Linked DNA regions of Sus scrofa. The main gene of each other region encodes a partner of the protein of the gene in region 3 in a complex. Links are inferred from orthologs where the notes say so. Each region holds a gene or a part of one and is shown on either strand. Other genes may lie near its edges. The genes, in order: GTF2A1, GTF2F1, POLR2F, TAF1A, RRN3, GTF2H4 and UBTF.

Region 1 (3,657 bases), on a different chromosome or scaffold from region 3:
ATAAACAGAAAACTAATTAATGCAATTCATCAGAAATTAGAGACTAAGGATAAAAAATTGTGATTATCTAAAAATTTCAGGAAGAGTGTGAAATAAAATTCAACATCCATTTATAGTTTAAAAAACAAAGCAAAGCTCTTGGTTAACTGAATAGAAGGGAACTTAACCTGATTTAAAAGGCATCCATAAAAAGCCTACAATAAACATTATACTTAACAGTCAATTACAGAAAGGCTACACCTCAACAGTATCAAAACTAAAAAATTGGAGTTCCCATCGTGGCGCAGTGGTTAACGAATCCGACTAGGAACCATGAGGTTGCGGGTTCGGTCCCTGCCCTTGCTCAGTGGGTTAACGATCCGGCGTTGCCGTGAGCTGTGGTGTAGGTCGCAGACGCGGCTTGGATCCTGCGTTGCTGTGGCTCTGGCGTAGGCTGGTGGCTATGGCTCCGATTAGACCCCTAGCCTGGGAACCTCCATAGGCCGCAAGAGCGAAAAAAAAAAAAACTAAAAAATTATTTAAAAATTAAAACCAAAATGAAACATTTTTTACCTATCAGGATTGGCAAAAATTAAGTAGCCTGACATATCAAGTATCAGTAAAGATATATAGACATATAAACCATTACATACTAAATGGGATAACTGTTATCAGTACAACGATGTGGCACTTTATTGTAAGGAAGATATGCATCCCCTATGATTCAGCAATTCAATGTTTAGGTGTAACACTTAGAGAGACTCTTACATGTGTCTCCGGAAGACAGAGGCCATAGTATTTTGTAACTCTAACAGTTAACAAGTAGAAACAACCCTCATGCCCAACATACCAGAAAAATGGATAAATGATATATTCAACAGTGAAAATAATTACATGTATATGTGACAATTTAGATGAACCTCAGGAATACTATCTTGGGGAAAAAAATCAACTTGCAGAAGAATACATAAATATTCCACTTAGATTATAAACAGGCATGCAAAACTAAAAAATATGCTCTTTAGGAACATAAATACATACGGTAAAATATAATGACAAGTTAATGATAAACAGAATTTCTGAGCATGGTTATTCTGATGGCAGAAGGAAGAGAATGGGGAGTAGGAAGGAGGATCCAGGGGGCTTTATTTAAGTAATGGGTTTTTTTTTTTTAACTAGATGTGGACACTGGAGTATTCATACTTTAAAATATTTATTCATTGTATCTATTCAATATTTAATGAAATGGTATTCTTTAAGAAATATTACTTAGATAATTTAGAAGAACTCTGCACTAAGAAACAATATTACATCTTAAGCTGCAAAAGGAAATTAATGGTGAAAATTGTGGTCAGACAAACATCATCTTGAACACAAGTAACTAAGCTAGAATACAGAGGAAAAACAAAGAAATATGCTCCTACTAATATACAACAAAAAATAAATATGAAAGAATGAAGATAGACACTAAGAGCATATAAGGTTATCTAAGGAACTGGTATGGATTATGGAACAAAATGAGGTTCTAAATAAATTTGTCACATTTATTTAGCTTTTTGTAAAAACGCCATTTTAAATTACAGAAGAAAAAGATTAACTACATTTATCTATTCTACCAATGTCTTATGTTTAAGCCACATCATGAATCCATAAGCCAAAGAATTAGAATTACTTGCACTGTCTCCAACACCTTTAAAAATATAACTTAATTTGGTATACATCTATTTTTTTGTTACCAGCTATAGAAATAATATTTTATAAACACAACCAGAACAATCTAAAAATCTTACTAACAATCTAATTTTATATTTAAAAGCCTATGTTGCAGAGTACCCTAACAGCCTCTGAAAAAATATAATTTATCAGTTTGGCACCACGTGAAAGAAGAAATGATTAAATATCTTCTCATTTCAAGTCATTTACTAGAAACTTACTTCTTCCACCTGCCCATCTTCAGCTCCATCTTTCTCTTTGTCTTCTTCCTCATCATCATCATAGTCTTCTTCTTCATCTTCATCTTCTTCAGATGATGTATCCCCAGTACCATCAACTTGTAACACCAAAGGAGCTTGCTGTTGAGCAGGCTGGGCCTGTGGCTGCTGTTGGCCAGTTGCAGGTATCTGTGCCTGTGCTGGTGTAGGTGCCGCCACTGTTGTAGGTATAACTTGTGTCTTATTTCCTGTAAATAAGATTTGCTGAGGCTGAATGATGACTCCTGTCTGTGGTGAAATCCCTCCAGGAAGAGGAGTTAGCACCTAAGGCAAAAGAAAAACTATATATTAGAAACTAGCTGGAGGATCAATAGTTCAGTTTTATTACTTGGTATATAGAAATAGCCCCAATGCTAAAGAATCACTAAAAATGGCCGTATCGCTACATAGCTAAAGCTACCAAAACACAAGAGTAATGTTTAACTAGTAAGTGTATTGATCCACTAAATTTTCATTTTATCATTCAAATTTCCAAAGGAAAGAAGATTTTCTGAAGATAACTGCTCCATTTATATCAAGTATTTTCTAGGTATATGCCAGATTTCAGGCCACATGTTATTACTTTATTTGCTTGCGGTATTAAGGTTTAATAACTTGCAAAGCTTATAGTCATGTCACTAAGAAGCAAAATGTGAACCTAGGCTTTCTGATTCTGCTCTTATTATTATTCTACACTGCCTCCCTATGAAGATCATTGCACTGGAAATCTAAAGCCTTGGGTGCTAGTTTTGACTAAGATCACACATAAAGATGTAGCAGAAGCAAGTCATTTAACCTCTCTCACTGTTTCAACTGTGGCTACAAGCTACAACTTGGTAACATAAAAATACTGATACCAATACCCACTCCTAATATTCTGATTTACTTGGTATGAGACAAAACCTATTCATTTTATTTAAAGCTCCCCAGGGAGTTCCCATCATGGCTCAGCAGTAACAAACCCAACTAGTATCCATAAGGACAAGGGTTCAATCCCTGGCCACATTCAGTGAGTTAAGGAAACAGTGCTGCCATTAGCTGTGGTATAGTTGCAGACATGGCTTGGATCCTGTGTTGCTATGGCTATGGTGTAGGCTGGTAACTGCAGCTCCAGTTTCAACCCCTAACTGGGAACTTCCATATACCACATGTTCAGCCCTAAAAAGCAGTAAATAAGCAAATAAATAAATAAATACTCCCCAGATAATTCTAATCATAGAACCACAGCTAAGAATCACCAAATCAGATGATTTCTAAAGTCCCTTCCAGCTTCTGAATCTAGGATTAAGTAAACCACAGCTCAAAAGGAAGATATCAACAAATATTAATTACATCTATTATAATGAACATATTTATGATTATAGTTATTACATAAAAAGTGGGGAAAGTCTAGTAATAAGTAAAAGGCAACAAATGGTAATTACTTGCCATTAAGTGCAAGGAAAGCAAAAAAATAGGACAGTATTTCTCTGAAGAAGTTTACAGATTAAAAGTGCAGTAACAACTCAAAAAAATAGATGAGAAAATAGAAGTATGGAGTTGCTGTTGTAGCTTAGCAGAAACAAATCTGACTAGCATCTATGAGGACACATATTCAATCCTGGCCTCACTCAGTGGGTTAAGGATCTGGCACTGCTGTGAGTGTGGTGTAGGTTATAGTCATCTCTCAGATCCTGCATTGCTACGGTTATGGTGTAGGCCAACAGCT
Region 2 (3,657 bases), on a different chromosome or scaffold from region 3:
ACCAAAGAACAGTTAGAATAAATGAATTCAGTAAAGTTATAGGATAACAAATTAACAGATAAAAATCTATTGCATTTCTATACACTAACAAACTATCAGAAAGAATTTAAGGAGTTCCCGTCCTGGCACAGCAGAAACGAATGTGACTAGGAACCATGAGGTTGCATGTTCCATCCCTGGCAACACTCAGTGGGTTAAAGATCTGGCATTGCCATGAGCTGTGGTGTAGGTCGCAGACGCGGCTCAGATCCTGTATTGCTGTGGCTGTGGTGTAGGCCAGCAGCTGTAGCTCCAATTTGACCCTTAGCCTAGGAACCTCCATATGCTGTGGTGCGGCCCTAAAAAGCAAAAAAAAGAGCGAGAATTTAAGAAAAAAATCCTATTTACAATTGCATCCAAAAGAACAAAATACCTAGGAATAAATCTAACCAAGGAGGTAAAAGACCTATACTCAGAAAACTATAAGAAAGGGAGTTCCCAGAGTTCCCATCGTGGCTCAGGGGTGAACTAATCCAACTAGTATCCATGAGGACGTGAGTTTAATCCCTGGTATTGCTCAGTGGGTTAAGAATCTGGTGTTTCTGTGAGCTATGGTGTAGGCCGCAGAAGCAGCTCAGATCCCCTGTTGCTGTGGTTGTGGTGTAGGCCAGCAGCTGCAGCTGTGATTCAACCCCTAGCCTGGGAACCCCCATATGCCGTGGGTGCAGCGCTAAAAAGACAAAGAAAGAAAAATAAAGGGGGAGTTCCCTGTTGGTCTAGTGGGTTAAGGATCCAGCATTGTCACAGCAGCAGCTTGGGTCGCTGCTGTGGTGTGGTTTCAATCCCTGGCCTAGGAACTTCTATATGCTGTAGGCACAGCCAAAAAAAAAAAAAAAAAAAAAAAAGAAATGAAGCACTGATACACAATACGACACAGATAAATCTTGAAAACATGATGCTCAGTGAAATAAGCCAGACACGGAAGGACAAACATTGTCTGAACCCACAGTCCTAGAGGAGTAGAATCCACAGAGATAGGAAGTAAATGATCGGGGAGGAGGTGGGGAGTTAGTGTTTAAAGGGGACAGAGTTTCAGTTTGGGAAGATGAGAAAGTTCTGGAGCTGGATGGTGGGGATGGCTGCCCAACAATGTGAATGTAACTTCATGACACTGAGCTGTGTACTTAAAAATGGTAAATTTGGAGTTCCCGTCGTGGTGCAGTGGTTAACGAATCCGACTAGGAACCATGAGGTTTCGGGTTCAGTCCCTGCCCTTGCTCAGTGGGTCAAGGTTCCGGCATTGCCGTGAGCTGTGGTGTAGGTCGCAGATGCGGCTCGGATCCTGCGTTGCTGTGGCTCTGGTGTAGGCTGGCAGCTACAGCTCCGATTGGACCCCTAGCCTGGGAACCTCCATATGCCGCGGGAGTGGCCCAAGAAATGGCAAAAAGACAAAAAAAAAAAAAAAAAAAAAGGTAAATTTTATGTTACATGTATTTTACCAGCCATTGATCCAGCCATGGGACCTCTTACCTGGAGGGAGCCCTGTAGGCCAAGGAGACCCCCCACCACCGCTGCCCCGTTCTGCCAATTCCTGTTCCAGGGCTCAGCTCAGCCATCCCTTCACGGCTCTTACAGGGCCGGGTGCATCCCTGAGGGCTTCCCACTGGTCCAGGAGCTCCCTGAGGGGCTGGTGAGGCTGGCTTGGTCACCACTGAGTCCCCACCTCTCAGCCCAGATCAAAGTTAGGGGGACACACCCCATTTCCAATCGTTTTGGCTCCCACACTCACCTCTCCCACTCTTCCTCTGCCTCCTCGGCTGTGAGAGTGCGGTGCCGGGCCAGCGGTGTGAAGTTGTACCAGTTGTGCACGGGGAAGGCCTCAAAGGCCCCATCGGGGCACTGGGTAAAGATGTAGTAGGATGTGTTTTCTGTCACGCCTCCCTTCTTTATGCCCTTGAACCTGCAGGAGTCGAAGGTCATGGTCTGCCCGTGGAAAAGGGACCAGCCCCAGCCTCAGCCCCAGGCCCCCTGCCCACATCCCAGACCTGCCCTCTCTCCAGAGCCACCTGGGTTCTCCAGCAAAATCTGAGGCTGGAAAGCTTCAGGCTGGCCCTTCCACTGTCTGAGCCTGGATTTCGACATCTGGAAAGCAGGGCTCCAGAGTTCCCATCATGGCACAGCAGAAACGAATCCAGCTGGGAACCATGAGGTTTTGGGTTCCATCCCTGGCCTCGCTGAGTGGGTTAAGTGAGCTGTGCTGTAGGTCTCAGACGCAGCTCGAATCTGGCGTTGCTGTGGCTGTGGTGTTGGCCGGTGGCTACAGCTCCAATTAGACCCCTAGCTTGGGAACTTCCATATGCTGAGAGTGAGGCCCTAAAAAAACAAAAGACGAAAGCAGGGCTCCCCACCTTGAAGAGAGGGCTTATGGCTCCCTGCCTTATACATTTCATGGTCCCTTCTGGAAGGACTGCGTTAGATTAGCTGTGAAGAGCAAGGACTCTACAGTTAGACCCCTCTGCATTTGCTTCCAGAATCTTCCTGGCCTTCACTCTCACTTTTTTTTTTTTTTTTTTTCTTCTCTAAGGCTGCAGGTGCGGCATATGAAGTTCCCAGGCTACAGGATGAACTGGAGCTGCAGGTGCCAGCCACAGCCACAGCAACACCAGATCCAAGCCGCATCTGCAACCCGCACTATAGCTCACAGCAACACCAGATCCTTGACCTACTGAGGGAGGCCAGGGATCGAACCTGCATCCTACTAGTCAGATTCATTTCCCCTGCGCTGCAATGGGAAATCTGACTCTTTTTTCTTTTGGCCACACATGCTGCATGCTGAGGTTCCTGGGCCAGGGATGGAACCTGCACTACAGCAGTACCCAAGCCACAGCAGTGACAATGCTGGGTACTTAACCCATGGAGCCACCAAGGAACTCCCACCCTCACCCTTTTCTGCCCCACAAGTCCTGGCCCTCTTCCTAGCAATCTTAGAGGGTCCCTCCCACCCACCTGGCGCGCATAGCCCTCCCAATCTGCCCACTCTGTCAGTATCATGCTGTGACAGTCCCTAGGGCTGGGCGTTCTTTGCCTCCATGCTCTCTGTTCTGCCTAAGGGCCCTCCAGCCACCTAACCTCCAGTGCTCCCAATCGTCCAACCCCCAGGTCCCCAGCAGCCCCTCAGTGTGAGCACCAGGACCTGAGCCTCGCCCTCCTGCATCCTGCCCCTCCGACCTCCTGCCCTGGCATCCACTCGGCTCATCTTCCCAAATAAAGGATAAGGTGTCACCCACACTGTACAGCCGGACGTGCAAGTTCCCGTGCAAGTTCAGCCAGGGTACCCAAGGAGTGAGGGCGGGAAAGGCACTTACTTCCGGCCTGCCTTGCCATTGATGCGGAGCAGCCAGGGCTGGTCCTCCGGCCGGAACTCCTTCAGGACGATGCCGTACTTCTTCCTCCGGGCCTCCTCCCGGAGCTTGCGGTTGAACTCACTGCCAGCGCCTGATTCTGGCATCTCCTCCTCTTGGTAAATCTTCTTGTTACTCAGGTCACGTTCCAGCCGGGCCTGAGGGATCAGGGAGCAACACCTCTCATGAGGGAGCCTGCCCTCGCCCCCCTCTGCCCCTGCCAACGACACCCCTTCCTCCCTTCCAAGTTGAGAAGTGGCCATTCAGAGCTGATTTC
Region 3 (4,118 bases):
ATGAACAAGCAGTCATTAAGCATGTGCCAGGGGCTGGAGTTACAATTGCGAGCCAAAACAGGCACCGTGTCCTGATGGGAGTTCATGAACTAGAAGGGCAGATGGATGTTAATTCAACATGAATTCATAGGGACACACAAGGTATCTGACTACAGGTTACGCTAAGCCCAGTGAAGGAAAAGGCACTGGGAGTGTGTGGGCACCTAACGGTTGGTTGCACTGTGTTGGTGGTGGGTGGGGAGGAAATAAGGCTTCTCTGGAGAAATTGAAAGTGTGATATAGTATGTGTCACTGGGTCACCATGCTGTACAGTAGGAAAAAAAAAATTGTATTGGGGAAATAACAATTACAAAAAAAAAGAATAACCAAAAAAAAAAAAGTGTGATATAAGGGATGCATAGCAGTTAACTACTCTAAAATTCGTGAGTTCTTTGACTTTTGGCCACTTTCGAGTTGCAGGACCCCCAAACTTTCCTGAACCCCAGGCTTCTTATCTGAAAAATGAAAACAGCAATTGCAAGCCATAAGTCATGCAGGTGAGAACTGAGTTACAGAGGTTAACAGTGACTACCGCTCTCCTTTTGTCCTTTCATGCACTGACACCACCGCCCCGCCCCGCCCGACCACCACTGACCTCTGAGCAGCTCGCAGGTTCTTGGGGTGTAAGCGGCCGGCTTGGGGCAGCGCCAGAAGCCAGTTCCTTTGGTCACAGTCTCCACCCTCTCCTGGGAAGCCATGGGAGGGCTCTGAGGAGGGAAAAACGCGACGACACACCCCCTGTCTCCCATATACAACCTCTGCTTCCGCATCCCCAACACCACCCAAAGTTTGGGTCTGGCGGGGGCGGGGCCCGCAAGAGAATCGTGACGCCGCCCATCAATATCGCGACAGTGCCCAATCCTCCCACCCGGAACAGATCCACTGGCAGATACACACATGCGAACAGAGACCTCATCCAGACCCGGCGCCTGTGGCAGGGAAGCCACCTCTGGAGGAAAGGGGCGTTAGGGTAACCTTGCCCGTTGTGTGATAGACCCAAACGGAAACCTCACTCTTAGGTAAGACTCCGGCTGGGTGCCCACTGAGAGTGGCCGCTAGGCTCTGAAGGAGCACCCGCGCCGGAGCCCTGCAGGAATGCTTTTGAGATCTCCGCTGCTCAAGCTCTGGTTATACACTCTGGCTACCATGGTAACAAGCTCTAGCTTCTCGGCGCGTGCGCACTATCGCCCTGCCGATCCTCCCGGAAGCAATTGCCTCTAGGTCACAGCGCAGGCGCAGAGTGCGCGTGGCGCAGCTCGTGGCGGAGGCGCGCAGTTTGCGGGTCTCCGCGCGACTCTTAGCGCAGAACCAGGGAGCTGCGGCGCGGGCGTCATGTCTGACAACGAGGACAAGTGAGTGCGGGAGCAAAGTGAGCTTTGCCGAGCCTGGTCAAAGGAGGTTAAGGAGCCGTTAACCGAGGGGCAATGCGTGAGGGGACTGGGGGTATTGAGGGGCCCGCGGAGCTGAAGAAGGGAAAGGCGGGGGGACCAGGAGCTTAGACCTGGTCACAGGCTGGGCCAAGAAAAGCCCCAGTTTGAGGATCCGGAGAGAATCAGTGAACGTGGTATCTTTCCACAAACTTTCACGGAGTCGGGCTCTGTCTCTTGATTTGGAATTACTGAGGTGAATTAGGCATAGCTCCTGCTCTTCAGGTAGGGGGCCCTTTCTAGAAAAGGGGACAGGCCCACAGACGGATACTGCAGGGGTCGTGTGAATTGCACGAAGTATGTAAAAGAAACCCAGCGGAGGGTCTGGGGAGACTTGAGGTGGTAAAAGTCTGGGAGGCTTGCGGTAATCCAGGAAAAAAAAAGGAGTGACTTGTACTAGGTAATCGTAGTAGAGGTAGTGAGAAGTGGTTTTGATTTCTGGGTTTATTTTGAAGCTAGAACCGGAAAGATTCCCTGAATGTGTGGAGGAGAGACAAAAATAGAGGCGTCTTTAGCATAAGAGTATTAGTCAAAGCTAAGAGAGGGGGCGATCATGGGGAGGCGGCAGGGGGGTGGGTGGTCAGTAGAGAAGAGGAGATGAATGAGCGTCAGAGCATCCTAACTGTGGAGTGCCTGGAGGGAAGAGAAGCTGAGAAAGAGCCACTGTGAGGCGGGGGAACACCAAGACCGCGAGGTGTCCTTTTCTTTCTTTCTTTCTTGGTCGCCCTTGTGGCATCTGGAGTTCCTGGGCCTGGGATCAGGTCCGAGCCACAGTTGTGACCTATGGCACAGCTGCAGCAGTGCTGGATCCTTAACCCACTGTGCCGGGCCAGGGCTCGAACCTGTGTCCCAGTGCTCCAGAGATGCTGCCAGTCCTGTTGCGCCGCAGCGGGAACTCCAGTGGAGAGTGTTTTGAGTGAGAGGGAGTGATTCGGTGTGCCACCTGACAGATCAGGCTAAATGAGAACAAGAATAGACCAGTGGATTTAGCAACGTGCAAATCATTGATGAACTTGAAAGGAGTGGTTTTGGTGGAGCCAAGGAGCTGAAAGTCTTTGGGAGTGAGATGATGACAGAATGTGAGGAGAAGAATTGGAAATGGCGAAGATGGACGACTCTTTCATGAATTTTTCTCCCACAGGGGGGCATGGAAATAGGGCTCTGGAGGGAATAGAAAAGGAAGCTTTGGCGTTCCTGTCATGGCTCAGTGGTTAACGAATCTGACTAGGAACCATGAGGTTGCAGGTTTGATCCCTGGCCTTGCTCAGTGGGTTAAGGATCCGGCGTTGCCATGAGCTGTGGTGTAGGTCACAGATGCGGCTTGGCTCTGGCATTGCTGTGGCTCTGGTGTAGGCTGGTGGCTACAGCTCTGATTAAACTCCTAGCCTGGGAACTTCCACGTGCCGCGGGTGTGGCCCTAGAAAAGACAAAACCAAAAGAAAAGAAAAGGAAGCTTTGTTTTAGTAAGTTGAGGACATCAAATGACTTAATAAATTATTATTATAAAATGATTTACTCAGTAAGTGCATATTTATTGAGCACCTCCTGCTTATCAGATCTATGCCCTCTTTGATTCTTGTAAGTGATGCTCTGCTTTCTTCTTGTACAGTTTTGATGGCGATGACTTTGACGATGTGGAGGAGGACGAAGGGCTAGATGACTTGGAAAATGCCGAGGAGGTAAGTGTTTAGCCTTGGGCTCTCCTCTCGGCAGCCCAAGTTGCCAGATAGCCCGGCCAGTGATGACTGAATGCATCTGCTTCTTGTCTGTAGTGAGGCCAGTTAGAGTGAGGAGAGGTCTAGTCCTGGGTGGTGGAGGTGGCCCGCAGGGTGGGCCTGAAGGATTTTGTCCACTTGGACCACAGCCTGTAGCTTCTGGGGTGGTTAGTTTACTGACAGGTGAAATATCCCCTTCATTCATTGAGCAAACATGTGTTGAATGTTTATTGTGTACCAGGAGCGCTGCAGGGTGGGGCTACATAAAGAGCAAGGGGGAGAGTGACCTGGAATAAAGCTGGAGAGGTAAGGGCCAAGGTCAGGCAGGATGTTGTAGCCTGCAGGTGGTGGGAAGCCACGGACAAGTTTTGAGCTGGGGAGTGGCATGGTCCAGTTTACACTTTAAAGGAACACTTTGGGGAGTTCCCGTGGTGGCTCAGTGGTTGCAGGTTCGATCCCTGGCCTTGCTCAGTGGGTTAAGGAGCTGGCGTTGCTGTGAGCTGTGATAGTAGGTTGCAGATGCAGCTCGGATCCTGCCTTGCTGTGGCTCTGGCGTAGGCCGGCTGCTACAGCTCTGATTAGACCCCTAGCCTGGGAACCTCCATGTGTCGCAGGAACGGCCCTAGAAAAGGCAAAAAGGCAAAAAAAAAAAAAAAAAAAAGGAATACTTTGGGGAGGAGCAACAGTAGGAGAGGCCAATTCAGGAGCTCTCACGGACCTCCAGGTGAGACCTGTAGCTGGCACTTGGGTGCTGATACTGCTGGAGATGAGAAAACGGATGCAAGAGATATTTTGGTAGATTGGATGTGGGCTGAGAAAGTGGGAGATGCCGAGGAAGACGAGTTTCTGGTGAATGAGTTACTAGCTTCATGGCTAAAGTGGGGCTTTGTGTCCTGTGTGACCGATGGATGGGGATGCTTGTGTGTTAGTTTAGGCT
Region 4 (3,657 bases), on a different chromosome or scaffold from region 3:
TTTTAGGGCCACATCCTTGGCATATGGAGGTTCCCAGGCTAGGGGTCGGATCGGAGCTGTAGCCACTGGGCTACATCAGAGCCACAGCAATGCGGGATCTGAGCAGCGTCTACGACCTACACCACAGCTCATAGCAACGCTGGATCCTTAACCCACCGAGCGAGGCCAGGACTGAACCCACATCCTCATGGATCCTAGTCGGGTTTGTTAACCACTGAGCCACGCAAAGAACCCCCTCATAGCACCACTGTTAAGATTAGACTGGTCCGCAGAATAGCAGGTGTCATATAAACCTCTGCATGTTGTCTGGTACACAGTAAATGTTTAAAGTTACTTTAAAACCTTACTTTCAATTATATGCTACAAAGAATAACGATCCAAATGGAGATGTCATTATTATATAAACACAGGGGTTTGACAGCTGAACCCAGGCAATGCTAAGTGTTCATCAATAATCTGAGTCAAGACTTCCTTGGCACCTGCTTGGCCCCTGCTGTAGCACCATCGAGAGGTTTAAAACATGAGCAGCGTGGTCCTCTGCCTTTAAGCACCTTACAGGCAGCAGGGTCTGCACAGTGCTTAGAGACGCCAAGTGGTTTACAGTAAAGACATCAACAGAGCAGCCCCGAAACATCTTATAATCAGGACTCTTCTACCTCTAAGGTCCAGTCAGGTCTGAAGCCTGAAGCAAAGTTCCCACTGATAATGAATTTCCTAACCAACTAAAACAGATATAATAAATCAACGATATCCTTTCTGCTCACACACAAGGTAAAAGTGACCAGGGCTGCTCCTTTGCTCGTGCTTAAAGCATGACACCGATGATTGCCATGCTCAGAGGCACAGTTCTGAATACCCAGCTCACCAGGGACTCGCAGTGATCTGCTAAATGAAAAACCACGGCAATTTTATGAGGGCCTCAAAAGCCACTGAAAACGACTGCAAACAGCTGGGAGAAAAGCTGCTCCCCTGTGAACGTAAAGGGTGATGACCCAAGTCACAAAGAGCTTCACGGAGAAGCAGTGAAGCCTGGCAGGGACCCCTCCAGGCCCCCTCCCATCAGAAGGCGCACACTCAGCTCTCAGGCAGGGGTAAGGAACAGCACTCATACTGAGAGCACAACAAATCCAGACAGAATTTTTGTATGTTTCACTTGTGACTTCCTATTTCCTGTCTTCTGATGTAAGCAGAAGAAAACAGCTGAAGACACAGTTTGAGAAATGCAGAAACGTAAACAAAGAACTTTAAAAATGGACTGATATCCTCTAAAATACTGGGAAATATTTATGGTGATGCAGTAACAGATACCGTGTGCTTCTTACTTACCCCATTAAAGTCTGTCTGAGATATTTTGCCAAATATTTCCAAGCAGTTATATTTTTAGTGCATCCAGCAAAATCTAAGATTCCAAACAATACCTCCAAGGCCAGTTTACGGTGTTCTTCCTTCTCTGCAATGGTCGTAACAATCAGAGGTTAGAGAAAGCACACGAGCGTGCAAAGATGAAAGAGTACATTCTGTTGATAAAGGACCACTACATCATAAGCCTTCTAGTCTGGCTAGAAGTTTAAAACAATTCACTATCATCACATTCTCCTGCAATGAATCTGAACAACTCAGTTCAGCCCACGCTAATGACAGCAGGGTGCCCGGTCCCATCTCTTCATGGGTTTATGAATGTTATGATACTATTCATAACATTATCCTACCTGTCTTAGGAGTTCCTGCTGTGGCACAGTGGGTTAAGAATCTGGTGCTGCTGCAGCTATTGTGTAGGTTGCAGCTGCGGCTCAGATTCGATCCCTGTCCCAGGAACTTCCACAGGCCACGGGTGTGGCCAAAATAAATACATAAATAAATAAAGTGCCTGCCCTATTTGGGCATTTTATACATGTTCTCTTCTACCAGTGGGGCACCGAGGTAGTCCCACTGCCTACTGGACTTAATAAGTGGATTTCCTCCAATGCTGAGCTGACACTCTGTTAAGTGTAAAAGGACATGAATTACAGAAATTGAATCCATTTGCCAACTCTTGTCTGACATTCTAGAGCAGGGCTCAGCAAACTCTTTCTGCAAAGGGCCAGACCCTAAACATCTGTTCTGCAAGCCTTACAGGTTGGCACAACTACACAAGCTGTTGCAGCGCAAAAGCAGCCACAGACAGTACAGGACTAAACTGACACAGCTGAGCACCAATAGAACCTAGTTTTCTACAAACAGGTGGGGTCCTCCGCCGACCCCTAGTCTACAGCCTGTCTGCACAAAGAGATGGAAAACGAGAATTACCTGATTTTCTCAGTAATCTATGGAATTCTAACATCAGTTTATGAGATGGTACAATCTGATACAAAATCTGGAAGAAAGAATAATCTTGTGATTTGTACACATTCTAAAGGCATTTCTCTAATTTCAACTTACTTTCAAATAAAGCTTTTAGTGTCTAATGTGTCCTCAGCAAATGAATCAAAGATTTAAAAGATACTTTACTTTTATCCACGTTTAATTTTGGTATTGAAAAGCATTCCATGTAAAGCTATTTTTTTTAAAAATATTCCCTGCTCATAACAAAATAGCTATTTGGGGGGTGGGAGGGTTTGGAGAGACAGAAACATTTAATTTTCACCATGTTAAACTGTTTACCACACTTAAAAACTTTGTTTCCTTTCAGCAACCAAGAATGAGGAAAAAAATAAAGGAAAAAAGAGAAGATCACACAGTAAGATAAAAGGCAAGGGTAGTTATTTTGAAAGACTGAGGTCTGGAACACAGCACATTAAGAGTATTCAAAGTCAATATTTTAAAAGTCTTTTTACACAATAGGGAGAATCAATGGTTCTTCTGTTAAAGAACAGGATGGACTATTTTTATGAATATGCCAAAAACAGGATTACAAGTGTATTTCTCCTTTAAACAAAGTTAATATTAGAGAGGAGGAGTTCTCTCGTGGCTCAGCAGGTTAGGGTCTGACGTGCTGAGGGTTTGATCCCTGGCCCAGAACTTCCACATGCCATAGCTAAAAAAAAGTGCGGCTGAAAAAAAAAAAAAAAAAAAAGAAGAAGGAAAAATAATTTATTCTGTCTACTTGCTGGGGTACTTTAACCTCACACAGAAATAATTTCCTACAAAATAACCAGTAAATCTGTTACTTTTCCTTAATCTTTTATTTTTTAAATGGAAGTTCCCAGGCCAGGGACTGAATCCAAGCCACAGCTGTGGCAACGATGGATCCTTTAACCTACTATGCTAGGCCAGGCATCAAACCTGAGCCACAGGAGCGACCCAAGCTGCTGCAGTGGGATTTTATTTATTTATTTATTTGGTCTTTTTTTTTTTTAGGGCCACACCCACGGCATATGGCGGTTCCCAGGCTAGGTGTCTAATCGGAGCTGTTGCTGCTAGCCTACACCATAGCCACAGCAACCCCACATCCGAGCCGAGTGTGCAACCTACACCACAGCTCACAGCAACACAGGATCCTTAACCCACTGAGCAAGGCCAGGGATTGAACCTGCAACCTCATAGTTCCTAGTTGGATTCGTTAACCAATGAGCCACGACAGGAACTCTGGTTAAAGGTTTCTTAAACAAAAGGTACTAACTATAAAAGAAAAATGAATAAATTGAACTTAATCAAAATTAGACATTTCTGTTCTTTGAA
Region 5 (3,657 bases), on a different chromosome or scaffold from region 3:
AGCCGCGTCTGTGACCTACACCATAGCTCACGGCAACGCCGGATCATTAACCCACTGAGCAAGGGCAGGGACCGAACCCGCAACCTCATGGTTCCTAGTCGGATTCGTTAACCACTGCGCCACAACGGGAACTCCCTATTATTAGCATTTTTATGTTTTACTTTCCTGTTTGCATGGCTATATGAGTGTTTTTCTCAGTGATCCGGCAGAATCACACTGTAAGTGGTTTATTATCTGCCCTTTTCACCTATTGTGAACATTTTTCTCATCCCATTCATTGTTATTCTAAAATAGTTATTGCTAATCATATAGATTTAACTGGTCTCTCCTTTTTTTTCCTCCCCCTGCTATTTATGTATTTATTTATTTTTGCTTTTTAGGGCTGCACCAGTGGCATATGGAGGTTCCCAGGCCAGGGGTTGAACTGGAGCTACAGCTGCTGGCCTACACCACAGCCACAGCAATGTGGGATCTGAGCCGCCTCTGCAACCTACACCACGGCTTATGGCAACACCGGATCCCTAACCCACTGAACGAGGCCAGGGATGGAACCTGCATCCTCATGGATCCTAGTCAGGTTCATTAACCACTAATCCACAAAGGGAATGCCCAATGATGTTTTAAAACCACCCCCATGCTTTTTTTTTTGGCCATTATAAATAACAGTGTAACGAACGTTCTTATGCATATATCTTCGATTATTTCTGTGTGGTGAATTCCCAGCAGTTGAGTCGCTGGATCAAAGGGCTTCTTCTAAGTTGCGCTTTGACAGTTTATGGCATCACAGGAGTGTGTGTGTGAGATGAGTGCCTCTTTCTTGCCACTGCTGGGTTGTTATACGTGAAAAGGAAAACCTGTGCAAGATGAAGATGGCTTTTTTTTCCCCTATAGGTCAATGGATGATGTGTTGTTGTTTTTTTTAAATAAAATTTTATTGGAGTATAGTTGACTTAGAAAGTTGTGTTAGTTTCAGGTATACAGCAGTGTAAATCAGTTATACAGGTATCCGTTGAGGATGTGTTTCTTTTTCTATTTTTTTGGTCTTTTTTTTTGTTTGTTTTTTTTTTAAGGGCCACACTTGCAGCATGTGGAGGTTCCCAGTCTAGGGGTCAGATCGCAGCTGTAGCTGTCAGCCTATCCCACGGCTACAGCAATGCTAGATCAGAGCCCATTTGTTTGCAACTTATATCACAGGTCTCAGTGAGGCCGGATCCTTAACCCACTGAGCAAGGTCAGGGACTGAACCTGTGTCCTCATGGATACTAGTCTAGTTCATTAACCACTGAGCCATGACAGACCTCCATGACGTGTTTCTTAGTAGTTTTATTTTCTTTTTAAAAATTGATAAGTGAAACTGGTAGCTTGAAAATTATATCTTTATAGAACTGAAATGCCAAATTTTCTTTGTAGGTAAGATTGATAACAACAAGACAAAGGATTTATATCGAGATCTCATAACCATCTTTGACAAACTCCTGTTGCCCACACATGCCTCCTGCCACGTGCAGTTTTTTATGTTTTACCTCTGTAGCTTTAAATTGGTGAGTATGTCGTTAACATAATTGTAGCTTATTTTAGTCTCACCCACAATTTTCCATTTAAAAATGAGGGATGAGGGGATGGTATGGAAAGGGAGACCGAGGTGAGTATTTCGTTGTCTTCAGCTCATTTTACTTAGTGCCTCTAATAATAGCCAGCCCTTTTGGGGAGTTCCCATTGCGGCTCAGTAGAACCCGGCTAGTATCCATGAGGATGTGGGTTTGATCCCTGGCCGCACTCAGTGGGTTAAGGATCTGCATTGCTGTGAGCTGTGGTGTAGGCCAGCAGCCATTGTAAGCCCCAATTCAACTCCTAGCCCCAGAACTTCCATATGCCATACTTCTGGCCATTAAAAAAAAAAAATAAATAAATAAATAAAAAATAGGAAGCCCTTTTCAATATAAGGAAGAAGCAGAGGGCTTCATCTGAGTGCAGTTCATCTGAGTGCTCGGAAAGTGTCATCCCGTGTTTGGTCCGCTAGGCGGTGCTCTTCCTTTCAATTCAAGCCTTAATTAAAATCTCATATTGGATATTTAACTGTTTTATTTTCTTTCAGTTGCTCTTAAGTAGCCCAAACTAAATTTTTTTTAATCTAGAATTTTAAAACTTTAGGCATTGGTTTTCTATTTTGAGAACAAAGCAAAACCAAAAAAATAGAGGCCTCTTTTTGCAACTCTTTCGTAGCTTCCTCGAATAGTCTGGAAGGGTGTTGGTCCTGGGCAGGAAGGTTCACCTCACTCTGCCTCAAAGCGTGTGTTAGCAGCTTCTGAAAAGAGCTATTTGGGAAAAGATGGAGGTTGCATCCTTTGTTTTAAAAAAAAACTTAATTGGTCTGTTTTTTCCCCTATGATTTGCATAATGAGTCAAAAACCAACTGTAATTTAATCCCTATTTCTGTTTCTGGTTAAGTTGAACGTGTGCAGTCTGAGAGGCACTGCAGAAGGGTTCCCATGGGTGCAGATTATCGCTGGTTTCGAGTGCCGGCTAAATCTCAGAATCACTTGTAGAGCTTTAGAAATAGCCCGGTCACAAATCCAAGGGTTCCAAAGCCCTGAATCTATAGGGTTAGTTTTCATGTTCAGCTAGTTTTTAGATCCATTGAATTATTTAATGCTGGGGAACACCTTTTGTTGTTAATGTATATTATCTCAAGACATTTTAAAAATAACCACAATAACCGTATTCATGGAGTTCCCATCGTGGCTCAGTGGTTAACGAATCCAACTAGGAACCATGAGGTTGCGGGTTTGATCCCTGGCCTTGCTCAGTGGGTTAAGGATCCAGAGTTGCTGTGAGCTGTGGTGTAGGCCTGTGGCTACAGCTCCGATTGGACCCCTGGCCTGGGAACCTCCATATGCCGAGGGTGCAGCCCTAGAAAAGGCAAAAAGACTGAAAAAAAAAAGTATTCATTATCTGTTTAGTAGTATAACTGAGATACCAGAACTTTCTCGTATAAGTGAGTTAAAAATCTTAGGATTCTGATAGCCAGAATATCTTAAGAATTTAAAAAAAGATGAGGAGTCCCCATCATGGCACAGCAGAAATGAATCTGACTAGGAACCGTGAGGTTGCGGGTTCGATCCCTGGCCTCGATCAGTTGGTTGGGGATCCCGAGTTGCCGTGAGCTGTGGTGTAGGTCACAGACTCGGCTTGGATCTGGCATTGCTGTGGCTGTGGCGTAAGCCTTCGGCTACAGCTCTGATTAGACCCCTAGCCTGGGAACCTCCTTATGCCGAGGGTGCAGCCCTAAAAAGACCAAAAAATAAACAAATAAAAAAATTAAAAAAGAAGATGAGACCTGGGAGTTCCCATTGTGGCTCAGCAGTTAACAAACCTGACTAGCATCCATGAGAACTCCAGTTTGACCCCTGACCTCTGCTCAGCGGGTTAAGGATATGGCGTTGCCATGAGCTGTGGTGTAGGTCACAGATGTGGCTTGGATCTGGTGTTGTGTGGCTGTGGCATGGGCTGGCAGCTGTAGCTCTGATTAGACCCCTAGCCTGGGAACCTCCATATGCCATGAGTATGGCCCTAAAAAGACAAAGACAAAAAAAAAAAAAAGGATGAGACCAACAGCTTTTCTTTTTATAGGGATTCGCAGAAGCATTTTTGGAACAT
Region 6 (4,347 bases), on a different chromosome or scaffold from region 3:
GAGAAAAGCAATAAGCCCTCTCTCAGGGTCAGTGCCCTTCATCTTCCTCCAGATACATCAGATCCCTCCCAATGCACAGAACTTCAGCTCCCAACATCTCTCCCCCTCCCCCGAGGGACCCCAGTATTCTGTCCTGGCAACTGTCCCCTGCTTCTGCCTTCGGAGACCCCTGTTCCTTTTGAAAGGCCAAGGCAACATACCACCCTGCCTCTTCCCTAAAAGCCATGTATCTGGGCGCTCATACCTTCCTCTGGAAAACAAGGCCCAACTCACGGAGATGTTGCAGGAAGTTCAACAGAGAATCACTCATACCTTCCACAGAGTAATCCTGGGGAAGAGAGGTAGCCGGCTGGGGTCCAAAACCCAGCCCATTCTCCCTTCCCCAACCCCATATGCTCCTTCCCACTTTTCCCATCCCTGGTGTTCTTCGTTTTTTTGTTTTTTGCTTTTGTCTTTTTGTCTTTCTAGGGTCGCACGGGTGGCATATGTAGGTTCCCAGGCTAGGGGTCCAATCAGAGCTGCAGCTGCTGGCCTACACCATAGCCACAGCAACGCGGCATCCGAGCCGCGTCTGCAACCTACACCACAGCTCACAGCAACACGGGATCCTTAACCCACTGAGCGAGGTCAGGGATTGAACCTGCGTCCTCATGGATGCTAATTGGGTTGTTAACCGCTGAGCCACGACGGGAACTCCTCTTTGTTCATTCTTCTCTTTCACTCTATTGACCCCTAACCTCATTTCCTTTTCCATCTCTCTACCCTTCATCTTGCCCACCCAAGCCTCTACTAGCTCCAGCCCCCTGCTTACCTTGCCCAGAGTAGAGAAGCTGAGCTGGAAGAGGAAGGAGAGAATCTCCACTAGGTCCATGCCCCGACTCTAAGGAGGAACGGGCAGATGTGGGGAGGAAATGAGAGAAAACCGGGGAACAGAGTCTACAGGCAGCAGGCCCTCAGTGGGTCCTGGGAAAAGCAGAGCATGCCAGCAGGCAGCCCCCGACCTCCTCACCTGGGCTGTCTGCAGGTACTGCAACATAAAGTACCAGAGCTGGGCCGGGGTGTCCAACAACAGGAATTGGAAGCCCGCAGAGGTAATGCAAGGCGGCTCTCCAGGTTCAGCACTACAGAAAGGGACCATGGCAGAGGTTTGCTGAGAAAGGCCACCATTCCACTTGTCCGCTCACATTTTTCTTGGTTTATCTCTGGCCATGCTCTACGCAGCTCTCCTTTTGCAGCCAACCCCCTCCAATCCTGATCCGACCCAAACACTCAGGTTAGCAGGGACTCGAGGAGACGGCAAAACAGAGCTGTTGTACCTCTGTCTTCCTCACCTCTTCATGAGCCCAGCCTGGCTGAGGAGCTGAGCCAAGTCCTGGCTGACGGCTGCACTGGGGGAGCCCACCATGAAGTGCAGGACCACCTGAGGAACAGAAGAGACCAGAGAGACAGATGCCTCTAAGGGCCCTGGGATGGGAGCACAAGCAGACACACACAGAGTCCCAAGTCCTTACCTCCCATCGCTCCTCAGCATACTTGTCAAGCGAGGGCACATCCCGGGCATGCTTGTCTGGTCCCAGCTGACTTGTGTCATCAGACCAGGCCTTGCCCCTATGCCAGTACGGCCGAGAGTAAGGAACCCTGCCTGTGTTCCCTGCCCACCACCCCCCTTCCCTCTTTCTACCCTCATCTCCAGGGGCCACGAGTGGGAGACATATCCTATACCACGTAGCAAAGTCTGGTCCAACTTATTCCTAAAGGAGCTCCCAAAGGTGGAGCCCACAAGGTTCCAGAGAGGTCCCCCAGGGCCTCTTAATAAGTAGTTTAATGAGCAGTTTAATCACTAGTTCCCCTGCCTGGCCTAGGAAAAGATGGAAGTGACATACCCACCCAGAAGGGCAATGCGGAGGTTTTGGCGGAAGATGGGGTTGAGGATGAGGCCCTGGAGGCCACCAGGGAGCAGCTGGGTGTGCCAGATACGGAGGCCGCTCAGCAGCCCCGTGCTTTCCTCCTGGGCTCTGGAACAGAAGAGGAGAGGTGAGGGGAGTGTCCAGAGAACAAAAGGAAGGAAGCCCATAAAGACCACCATTTCTGCCTTTTCTGAACTGGTGGTCCTTGGAACACTGTTTCACAGAGTGAAATTGGTATCTTCTTAAGGCAAATTTCTTTACTGCAGCACCTACCAGAACCTTGTTATAGACATCACAACTCTCCAAGAGGCAAAATGGAGTATGCGTAGTTTCCCAAACTTGTTTAATTACAAGTTTAGTGGTGTTCCCTTGAATATACTCCAGCAGTTTGGGAAACCTGGCTGTTGAGAAATTTGTATCTGGCTGAAAGTGCAGCAGAGACTCACTTGCTGAATTCCTTCTTCACCCACAAGGCTACGGCAGCTTGTGGCAGAGGCTGCTCCAGAAAGAGCATCCGCATCACCCAGTTCTTAGCTAAAGATGGGAGCTCCCTATAAGGGGGCAGAGGGAAAACGTTAATATCAGAAACTGCCTCAGATCTGCATCCCTGCCCTCAAATGCCTCTCAAACATCTCATCTCACCCCTGGCCCTTTTACCAGTCTTCCTGCCCCCACATCTCCATCTGTTTGGGCCTGACACATTTTAGTCTCCAAGCCCCCCAGAGCTAAGCTTCTACCCATGATAACTTATTGCAGTCTGCAGGCCTCATTACATTTCCCTACTATGGTCCCTGCCATGAACGGGGTCCTCACCTGAAGACAGCCAAACAGGTGGCAGGGTGCCCATACAATCGGTCCAATACAACAGGGCTCAGGCCCCCTAAGAATTCCTGCAGATTCCTGCATTGTAGGTGTACTCGATTCAGTCCACCCCTTGAAGGGGTGCTCTCCATCACCTGAGAGATGCAAGTGTTAGTGGACCTCCGAAATCCATGCCAGTGTCACCCCCTCACCGTTCTCATTCCAATTCCAGATCCACTGGCCCCTGCAAAAATTCATCTTTTCTACAGTTTCCTTTTTCACGTCACTCATCTCCTCTTGTTTCTCCCAAACCTGACCACCCTCCTCTTCTTTCCTCCCTCCTCACTGCACTCCTGATCTCAACTCAAGTCTTCTCCAATTTCTAAGTGAAAGAATTGTCAGCTGTTCCATATTTGCAAAAATATTTTGTATTTCAGTGACTTATCTACACCCTAGGCAAAGAAAGTTTTCTGAGCCCAGTTCTCTCTCCCCTCGACCTCTCCTGGTCTGATCAGCCTATAAACTTCAATCTGCCCATTCTCTCCATCTATTTCTTGACCCCACTCCTCGTGCTGGGAACGGCAATAATTACCTTTCCCCTCCAAGTCTCATAAATCTAATTCCACCTCTTTCCTCTTCCCGTCCCTAAGACTACTTCACTCCATTCACCCTGACTCACACCGTATGATCTCCTCCTAACTCGTCCCCTACTTTCTTCCCAATGCTCGTCTCTCATCAACTCTCTCCTTCTTATACCTCCCGCCACCCCTTCTCTCCCAGCCCCCTTACCACTCAGTGTCGACCCCCTCCTCGTGCACTCCGAGTCTTAAGCCGTCGCTTAATCGGAGCCAGTGTCTCGCATTAGCTCTCAGGAATAGGGGAAAGAATGGCGGAAAGTGAGCGAAAAATATGGGGAGGGGGACGAAGGATTTCACCCACGCAAGTCCAGAGTGGAGGATTCAGAAGAGGAGTGGAGAGGTAGGGAGGAGAAGAACCGGCGCTGCACTCGCTCGCCACAGGGCATGCTGGGAATTGGAGTCTTGTCCTTCCCAGCCCGGGAGCCAGCTGAAGCGCGTCCGACTACAACTCCCAAAAGGCACTGCGGGGAGCCAAGCGGAGAGAGGCTGGCTTTTACGTAAGAGAGCCGGAGGCTCCGGAGGTCTGGCTGTTCGTTCCGCATCGCTCTCCACCCACTCGGCTAACGGCGAGTCTAACCAACCCGAGATCATGTGGGGACCCTGAGAATAGAAGTTCCCCGAGGTCTTCCTATCCGAGGTGCGGAAACCACTGGGTGGTGAGGAGCTCAGGTTCAGAGATGCAGAAACCTGGGTTCCTTGAGCTCAGTTGCTCCTCGTAAAACTGGAATAATGCACTTTCCAGAGCATTTTCTCGAATTAGGAGTTAACTCCATCCGGTGTGCCTTCCTTGGCAAGTAAATACTCAGTAAATCTTAATTGTCACGTCCTCCATGCTTCCATCCACCTCCCCGCCCCCCCCCGCCCCCTGTTAGAAGATCCTAATAAATGCAGTTTAAAAAAACAAACAATTGTTTGGTCTGATTTGATATATTAAACTACTGCTTGTTAAGGGAAGGGAACGTCTTAAGCCAGAGCCAGATCTGTAAGTTTCCCCAAATTCC
Region 7 (4,391 bases), on a different chromosome or scaffold from region 3:
TATTCTTATCAACACTCAAGACACTCCCTCCTGTCTCATTTCAGAGATGGAGAAGTCCTTTAGAAGGGGAGTGGGCCCTGCAGACCCCCGTAGGAAAGAGAATTTAATTAAAGAGGGCTAAAGGTCCGGGCTCCTACCTTGGCCTTTGGGGGCGGCCATTTCCAGGTCTGTGGGGCAGTCGGCTTCTCCGTTCATTCTCCAGCCGTCCAGCCACCTCCTCGGGTCGTGCTGGCCAGGCAGGCCGGGGTCAAAGCCACCTCACCTTTTGGGAAAAAGAGGAAAAAAAAAAAAAAAAAAGCAGTCCTCACTCAGACGGGCTGAGAAGTGAGGAACTGTCTATCCCCTCCCTCCCCCAAAGGGGGAGGGAGCCCCAAGTCCCCACTCTGTAAGCCAAGGTCCTGGGAGATGAGTCGGTGGGGGTGGGAATGCCCTCCTCCACTTCCTCCTAACTCCCTCCCACTGCCCCCAGCCCCTACAGCCCGGCTCCGCGGCGTGCGCCCTCCCCTGCCCACGCGAGAGACTGCTCCCCGCTCCCGCGTGCAGCTAGCGCCCGCCCTCCACCCTCCTTCCCCCACCCCGGCCAAAAAAAAAAAAAAAAAAAAACTCCTCCTCCTCCTCCTCCTCGGTGCGCCCGCCCCGGGGAGGCCCCAGGCTGGAGGGCGGGGGAGGAGGAAGGGCGGGTAAAGGGCGCGCGCGGCCGCGGAATCGGGCACGCGCCACAGTCTCCTCCTCCCGCTCCCCCCGGCCGGTTCCCCCCGCCTCCGCAACCCGGCGGGGACCCGGACGCAGCGCAGCCGCCGCCGGCCCCGGAGCGCAGCGGCCGCACCTCCCCCGGGGACCGGATCCGGATTCCCGCCGCCCCCCCCACGCGGGCTCGCGACGCCGTCCCCGCCCGCCTGGGCGGGCGAGCAGCCGGAGAGAAGCGGCCTGGCCTGCCCCCCGCCCCCGAGCCACCCACCCCGGGTAGAGGCGCCGCCGCCGCCCAGCCACCCCGACGCGCACGGAGGAGCCCGGCGCAGAGGCGCGACCACGGCGGGAACCGCCGCCTCCTCCCTCGAGCTTGCGGCCCAGCCCTGCCGGCGCCCCCGCCCCGGCCTCCGGGGAGCCGAGCCAAGGAGAGGGCGGGAGGACGGCGGCCGGGAGGCGGGGGCGCAGCGCTCACCGGCCCCGCCGCCCCCTCCGGCGGCCGGCGAGAACTGCGCCTGCCGGCTCGGAGAAGCGCGGGCTCCTCCGCCTGCTGCCGGGACTCAGCTCGGGCCTCGCTTCCTGCCCTCCCCTCCCCCGGTTCTCGGCGTCCTCTCCAGTGCCCTGGCCCTCTCTCGCCCAGTCCCTTGCCCGGAGGTCGTCCCGGGTCCCCTCCGGGCGTCCACCGTACCCGCGGCTCGCTCCCCGCCGCCCGGCCCCGACCCCAGCGCGCGTCCTCAGCCGCCTCGGTTACCCGGCACAGCGCGGCCTCCAGGCTTCCCGCTCCGGCGGCTCCCTCCCCGGCTCTGAGCGGCGGCGCCCTCCCCCGCTCGGCCGGGCACAGCCGCAGCTCCCTCCCGCGGCGGCAGCGGCTCCTCCTCCGGGCGCGGCGGCAGCGCTGGGGCGGCGGCTGCTGCTGCTGTGGCGGCGGCGGCGGCTGTGGCTGCTGCCTGCTGCTCCTCGCGGCGAAAAGCACAAAGCACAGCGCCCTCCGCCTGCAGGCAGCCCGCCCGCCGCCCGCCCGCCGGCCCCGGCCTCAGCTCGCACACCCCCCGCCGCCGCCGCAGCCTCCGCCGCCGGAGCGGGGAGGAGGAGGGAGAAGGGAGGAGGAGGAGCGGGAGGGGGGGCGGGAGAAGCGGGGCAGCGAGCGCGTCCTTCCCCGTAGAGCGCACACCGACCCCCGGGGAGCGAGCGCCAGCCCGCCCGCCTCGCCGGCTCCGCTCCCTCCCACAGCCTGCCCGGGCGGGCTCCGCGGGGGGCAGCTGGGAGGAGGGGCGGGAGCTGGGGGACCCGGGCGGCCGAGGCGGAGGGAAGGAAGGAGGGGAGGGGGTGGTGGTGGTGGTAGTGGTAGTGGTGGTGGTGGCGGCGGCGGCGGCGGCTGCTGCCGCCGGAGAGGGGGGGGGCCGGGGCAGGGAGACACGCAGCCGCCCGGATGGCGGCGGGGCTCGGAGCCGAGGCAGGCGGGCGGGCGGGCGCCGAGAGCGACCTCGCCAGACCCGCGGGGGAACTGGCAGGCTCGGCCGGCGCGGGAGGGAGGGCTCGAGGCGCGGCCGCAGAGAGGGTGCCCGGAGGGCCCCCCGGCGGCCAGGGAGGCTCGGGGGGTGCCTGCAGCCTTGCTCCGGAGCTCTCTCTTAAGTCTTCCCAGCTCAGATTCAGGTTTCCACGCCGGCCCTCACCCGCTCCCCTCGCCTGCCTCCCGGAGCGGGCGGTCCGCGCCCACCCTTATCCCCGGAGCGTAGCCACCGGCTTGGGGCGCACGCCCGCCGATCGCGGCGCCAGGCTTCGGAGCCTGCCTCGCGGTCGCCTCGCTGCCAAGCAGCACACACACGAACTTTTAAAAAATTATTCCTACAAAATATCCTCCTTGCAAATTAAAAAAAAAAAATCCTGTGCTTACACTCCGCAAACGGCGAGGGGGCAACGGGCTCCGGCGGAGGAGCCTTTCTGGGAGCTGGTTCAATCCAGCCCGGCATGGCTCCCCAGGCCTGCCCGGGCGCATGGAGATCGTCGCTGCCGCCGCTCGCAGCAACCCCTCTCCCCCGAAATCCGCGGCGCTGGGGCTCACTTACCGAGCGTGTGAATGGGAGTGCGGGCCAGGGGCGCCTTAGGGGTGCTGCGGGCCGAAGAGCCGAGCCGCAGCTCCGCCGCAGCCGACGCCGGGGCAGCGAGTCGCCAGACAAAGCCCGAGATGGCGAAGCGGAGCGACGGCTAATGGCGAGCCCCACGCGCCGCGCTCCGCCCGCCCCGCTCCGCCCGCCCGCCCGCCCGCCTCGGCGCAGCGCAGCGCCGCTCCGAGCGCTCGCCCGTCAGAGCCGCCTCGGCGCCGCCGCCTCCCGGGCCACTCCGGCCTCGCCTGGCCCCTCCGCCTCCTCCGAGCGGCTCAGCCTCACCCCTTCCCTCCCACCGCTCTGGGGGTTGCATGAAAATAAAAAAAAAAAGAAAAGGAAAAAATGCTTTTCTTTTTTTTTTTTCCTTTGGCAGGGCGGGCTTGTTGAGACTTTCGGGTCTTTTTTTGCCCCCAGCTCGCACTCACCTGCGGAGCCGCCGGGAGGGCTAGGGGTGGGGGCGCGCGGGGCTGTAGCCGGCGAGCGCGGGTTGAAAGCTAGCCAAGCTCTGCAGCGCCCGACCCGGGCGTATACGCCGCCGCCAGTCCCCGCAGAGAAATCGTCCTCCTACCCCCGCCTCCATCGCTCTGCGTTTCTCTTCCAATCAGCCGATCGCTTGGCGGCTCCTCCATTCTCCGGCCAAGCCCGCTGCCTAGAGCGAGCTCCACTCCTCCATCTGCTTGCCCGGATCCTCGCTCCCCTGCCGGGGCCGGCGAGGCGACGTGGGGCCGGAGGGGGATTTGCGAGGGAACCTGCCGGCTTCCCGCTCCCATTGCTCCCTCCCTGCTGCCTCCTGCCTCCTGCTTCTCTCCTGCGTCTTTCCAACTCTCCCCTGTCGCCACTGGTGTGTGTCTGAGTGTGTGCGCGGGTTTTTTTTTTTTTTTTTTTTTTTTTTTTTTTTTTATTGCTCTTTGCTTTTGCAACCCTAGAGCCAGAGCGGAGTGGGTGGGGGGTGGGGAGCAAGGGGGAGTGTTACAAAAAAACAAAAAAGAAAGAAAAAGATAAAAGCAAGCAAATAGCTCTTAGGCTTGCAACACATTGAAAAACCCGGGGAGCACCCCGCCTAGTCCGATCTCGGGGCTCCGCCAGGGCCTTCCGGGTTTTGGAGCGAGCCCCTCGTTGTTCTCAGTGCCCCTCACCTCCTACGGGTTTAGGATCCGAGGAAGTCCAAGCAAAAAGTTCTCCCCCTGGGCCGTAGCAAGGGGGTGTCAGGGTGGGAGGTGGGGGTATTTCTCAAGAAGCAGCAACCGTCCCTCCCACCCCGGCTTCAGTGGCTGGGCCGGCGTCTGGATAAAGAGCAAAAACCCCGTTGGGTTTAGGCAAAGGGGTATCCGGGGTGAACTTGGAGCTTGAGACCTCGCTTCGTGCATCTCCCCTTCGGTCTCTGCCGCCTGTCCCCTGCCAGCTCCCCCTTTAATTTTTTTTTTTTTTTTTCCCTTTCCTTTAATCTAATTTCTTCCAACTCCACCTTTGTTGTTAACCGGCGTCACGCCCGGACCAGCCAATCCCCGCCACGCAATCGGCTTGTCAAAAAGGCTCGGCCAGCCCTGGGAAAGCAGGCTGCGGGCGCTGCCCCCCACCCTCCACTACCCCCACCCCCGG

What was found.
Region 1: POLR2F (region 3) and GTF2A1 share a complex: the UniProt entries of both Homo sapiens proteins name them as parts of the TBP-based Pol II pre-initiation complex. The link is inferred for Sus scrofa from reciprocal best matches to the Homo sapiens genes POLR2F and GTF2A1.
Region 2: POLR2F (region 3) and GTF2F1 share a complex: the UniProt entries of both Homo sapiens proteins name them as parts of the TBP-based Pol II pre-initiation complex. The link is inferred for Sus scrofa from reciprocal best matches to the Homo sapiens genes POLR2F and GTF2F1.
Region 4: POLR2F (region 3) and TAF1A share a complex: the UniProt entries of both Homo sapiens proteins name them as parts of the pol I pre-initiation complex. The link is inferred for Sus scrofa from reciprocal best matches to the Homo sapiens genes POLR2F and TAF1A.
Region 5: POLR2F (region 3) and RRN3 share a complex: the UniProt entries of both Homo sapiens proteins name them as parts of the pol I pre-initiation complex. The link is inferred for Sus scrofa from reciprocal best matches to the Homo sapiens genes POLR2F and RRN3.
Region 6: POLR2F (region 3) and GTF2H4 share a complex: the UniProt entries of both Homo sapiens proteins name them as parts of the TBP-based Pol II pre-initiation complex. The link is inferred for Sus scrofa from reciprocal best matches to the Homo sapiens genes POLR2F and GTF2H4.
Region 7: POLR2F (region 3) and UBTF share a complex: the UniProt entries of both Homo sapiens proteins name them as parts of the pol I pre-initiation complex. The link is inferred for Sus scrofa from reciprocal best matches to the Homo sapiens genes POLR2F and UBTF.

The regions. Positions count from the first base shown.
Region 1 is NC_010449.5:103,981,668-103,985,324, forward strand, and holds part of GTF2A1 (transcription initiation factor IIA subunit 1), read right to left. Parts: intron 2,235-3,657; coding exon 1,914-2,234; intron 1-1,913. UniProt on the Homo sapiens protein: TFIIA is a component of the transcription machinery of RNA polymerase II and plays an important role in transcriptional activation. TFIIA in a complex with TBP mediates transcriptional activity.
Region 2 is NC_010444.4:72,690,547-72,694,203, reverse strand, and holds part of GTF2F1 (general transcription factor IIF subunit 1), read right to left. Parts: intron 3,539-3,657; coding exon 3,345-3,538; intron 1,940-3,344; coding exon 1,769-1,939; intron 1-1,768. UniProt on the Homo sapiens protein: TFIIF is a general transcription initiation factor that binds to RNA polymerase II and helps to recruit it to the initiation complex in collaboration with TFIIB. It promotes transcription elongation.
Region 3 is NC_010447.5:9,914,863-9,918,980, reverse strand, and holds the start of POLR2F (DNA-directed RNA polymerases I, II, and III subunit RPABC2), read left to right. Parts: upstream 1-1,259; 5' UTR 1,260-1,371; coding exon 1,372-1,391; intron 1,392-3,075; coding exon 3,076-3,145; intron 3,146-4,118. Other genes in the region: C5H22orf23 (UPF0193 protein EVG1), read right to left, coding at 635-938. UniProt on the Homo sapiens protein: DNA-dependent RNA polymerase catalyzes the transcription of DNA into RNA using the four ribonucleoside triphosphates as substrates.
Region 4 is NC_010452.4:11,345,427-11,349,083, forward strand, and holds part of TAF1A (TATA box-binding protein-associated factor RNA polymerase I subunit A), read right to left. Parts: intron 2,354-3,657; coding exon 2,287-2,353; intron 1,451-2,286; coding exon 1,327-1,450; intron 1-1,326. UniProt on the Homo sapiens protein: Component of the transcription factor SL1/TIF-IB complex, which is involved in the assembly of the PIC (pre-initiation complex) during RNA polymerase I-dependent transcription.
Region 5 is NC_010445.4:7,547,878-7,551,534, reverse strand, and holds part of RRN3 (RNA polymerase I-specific transcription initiation factor RRN3), read left to right. Parts: intron 1-1,410; coding exon 1,411-1,541; intron 1,542-3,630; coding exon 3,631-3,657. UniProt on the Homo sapiens protein: Required for efficient transcription initiation by RNA polymerase I (Pol I). Required for the formation of the competent pre-initiation complex (PIC).
Region 6 is NC_010449.5:23,397,818-23,402,164, reverse strand, and holds the start of GTF2H4 (general transcription factor IIH subunit 4), read right to left. Parts: upstream 2,861-4,347; coding exon 2,721-2,860; intron 2,459-2,720; coding exon 2,354-2,458; intron 2,016-2,353; coding exon 1,884-2,015; intron 1,609-1,883; coding exon 1,512-1,608; intron 1,421-1,511; coding exon 1,332-1,420; intron 1,122-1,331; coding exon 1,010-1,121; intron 881-1,009; coding exon 812-880; intron 329-811; coding exon 245-328; intron 1-244. UniProt on the Homo sapiens protein: Component of the general transcription and DNA repair factor IIH (TFIIH) core complex, which is involved in general and transcription-coupled nucleotide excision repair (NER) of damaged DNA and, when complexed to CAK, in RNA transcription by RNA polymerase II.
Region 7 is NC_010454.4:18,989,080-18,993,470, reverse strand, and holds the start of UBTF (nucleolar transcription factor 1), read right to left. Parts: upstream 2,957-4,391; 5' UTR 2,754-2,956; intron 1,527-2,753; exon of another isoform or gene 1,439-1,526; intron 1,118-1,438; exon of another isoform or gene 959-1,117; intron 263-958; 5' UTR 196-262; coding exon 138-195; intron 1-137. UniProt on the Homo sapiens protein: Recognizes the ribosomal RNA gene promoter and activates transcription mediated by RNA polymerase I (Pol I) through cooperative interactions with the transcription factor SL1/TIF-IB complex.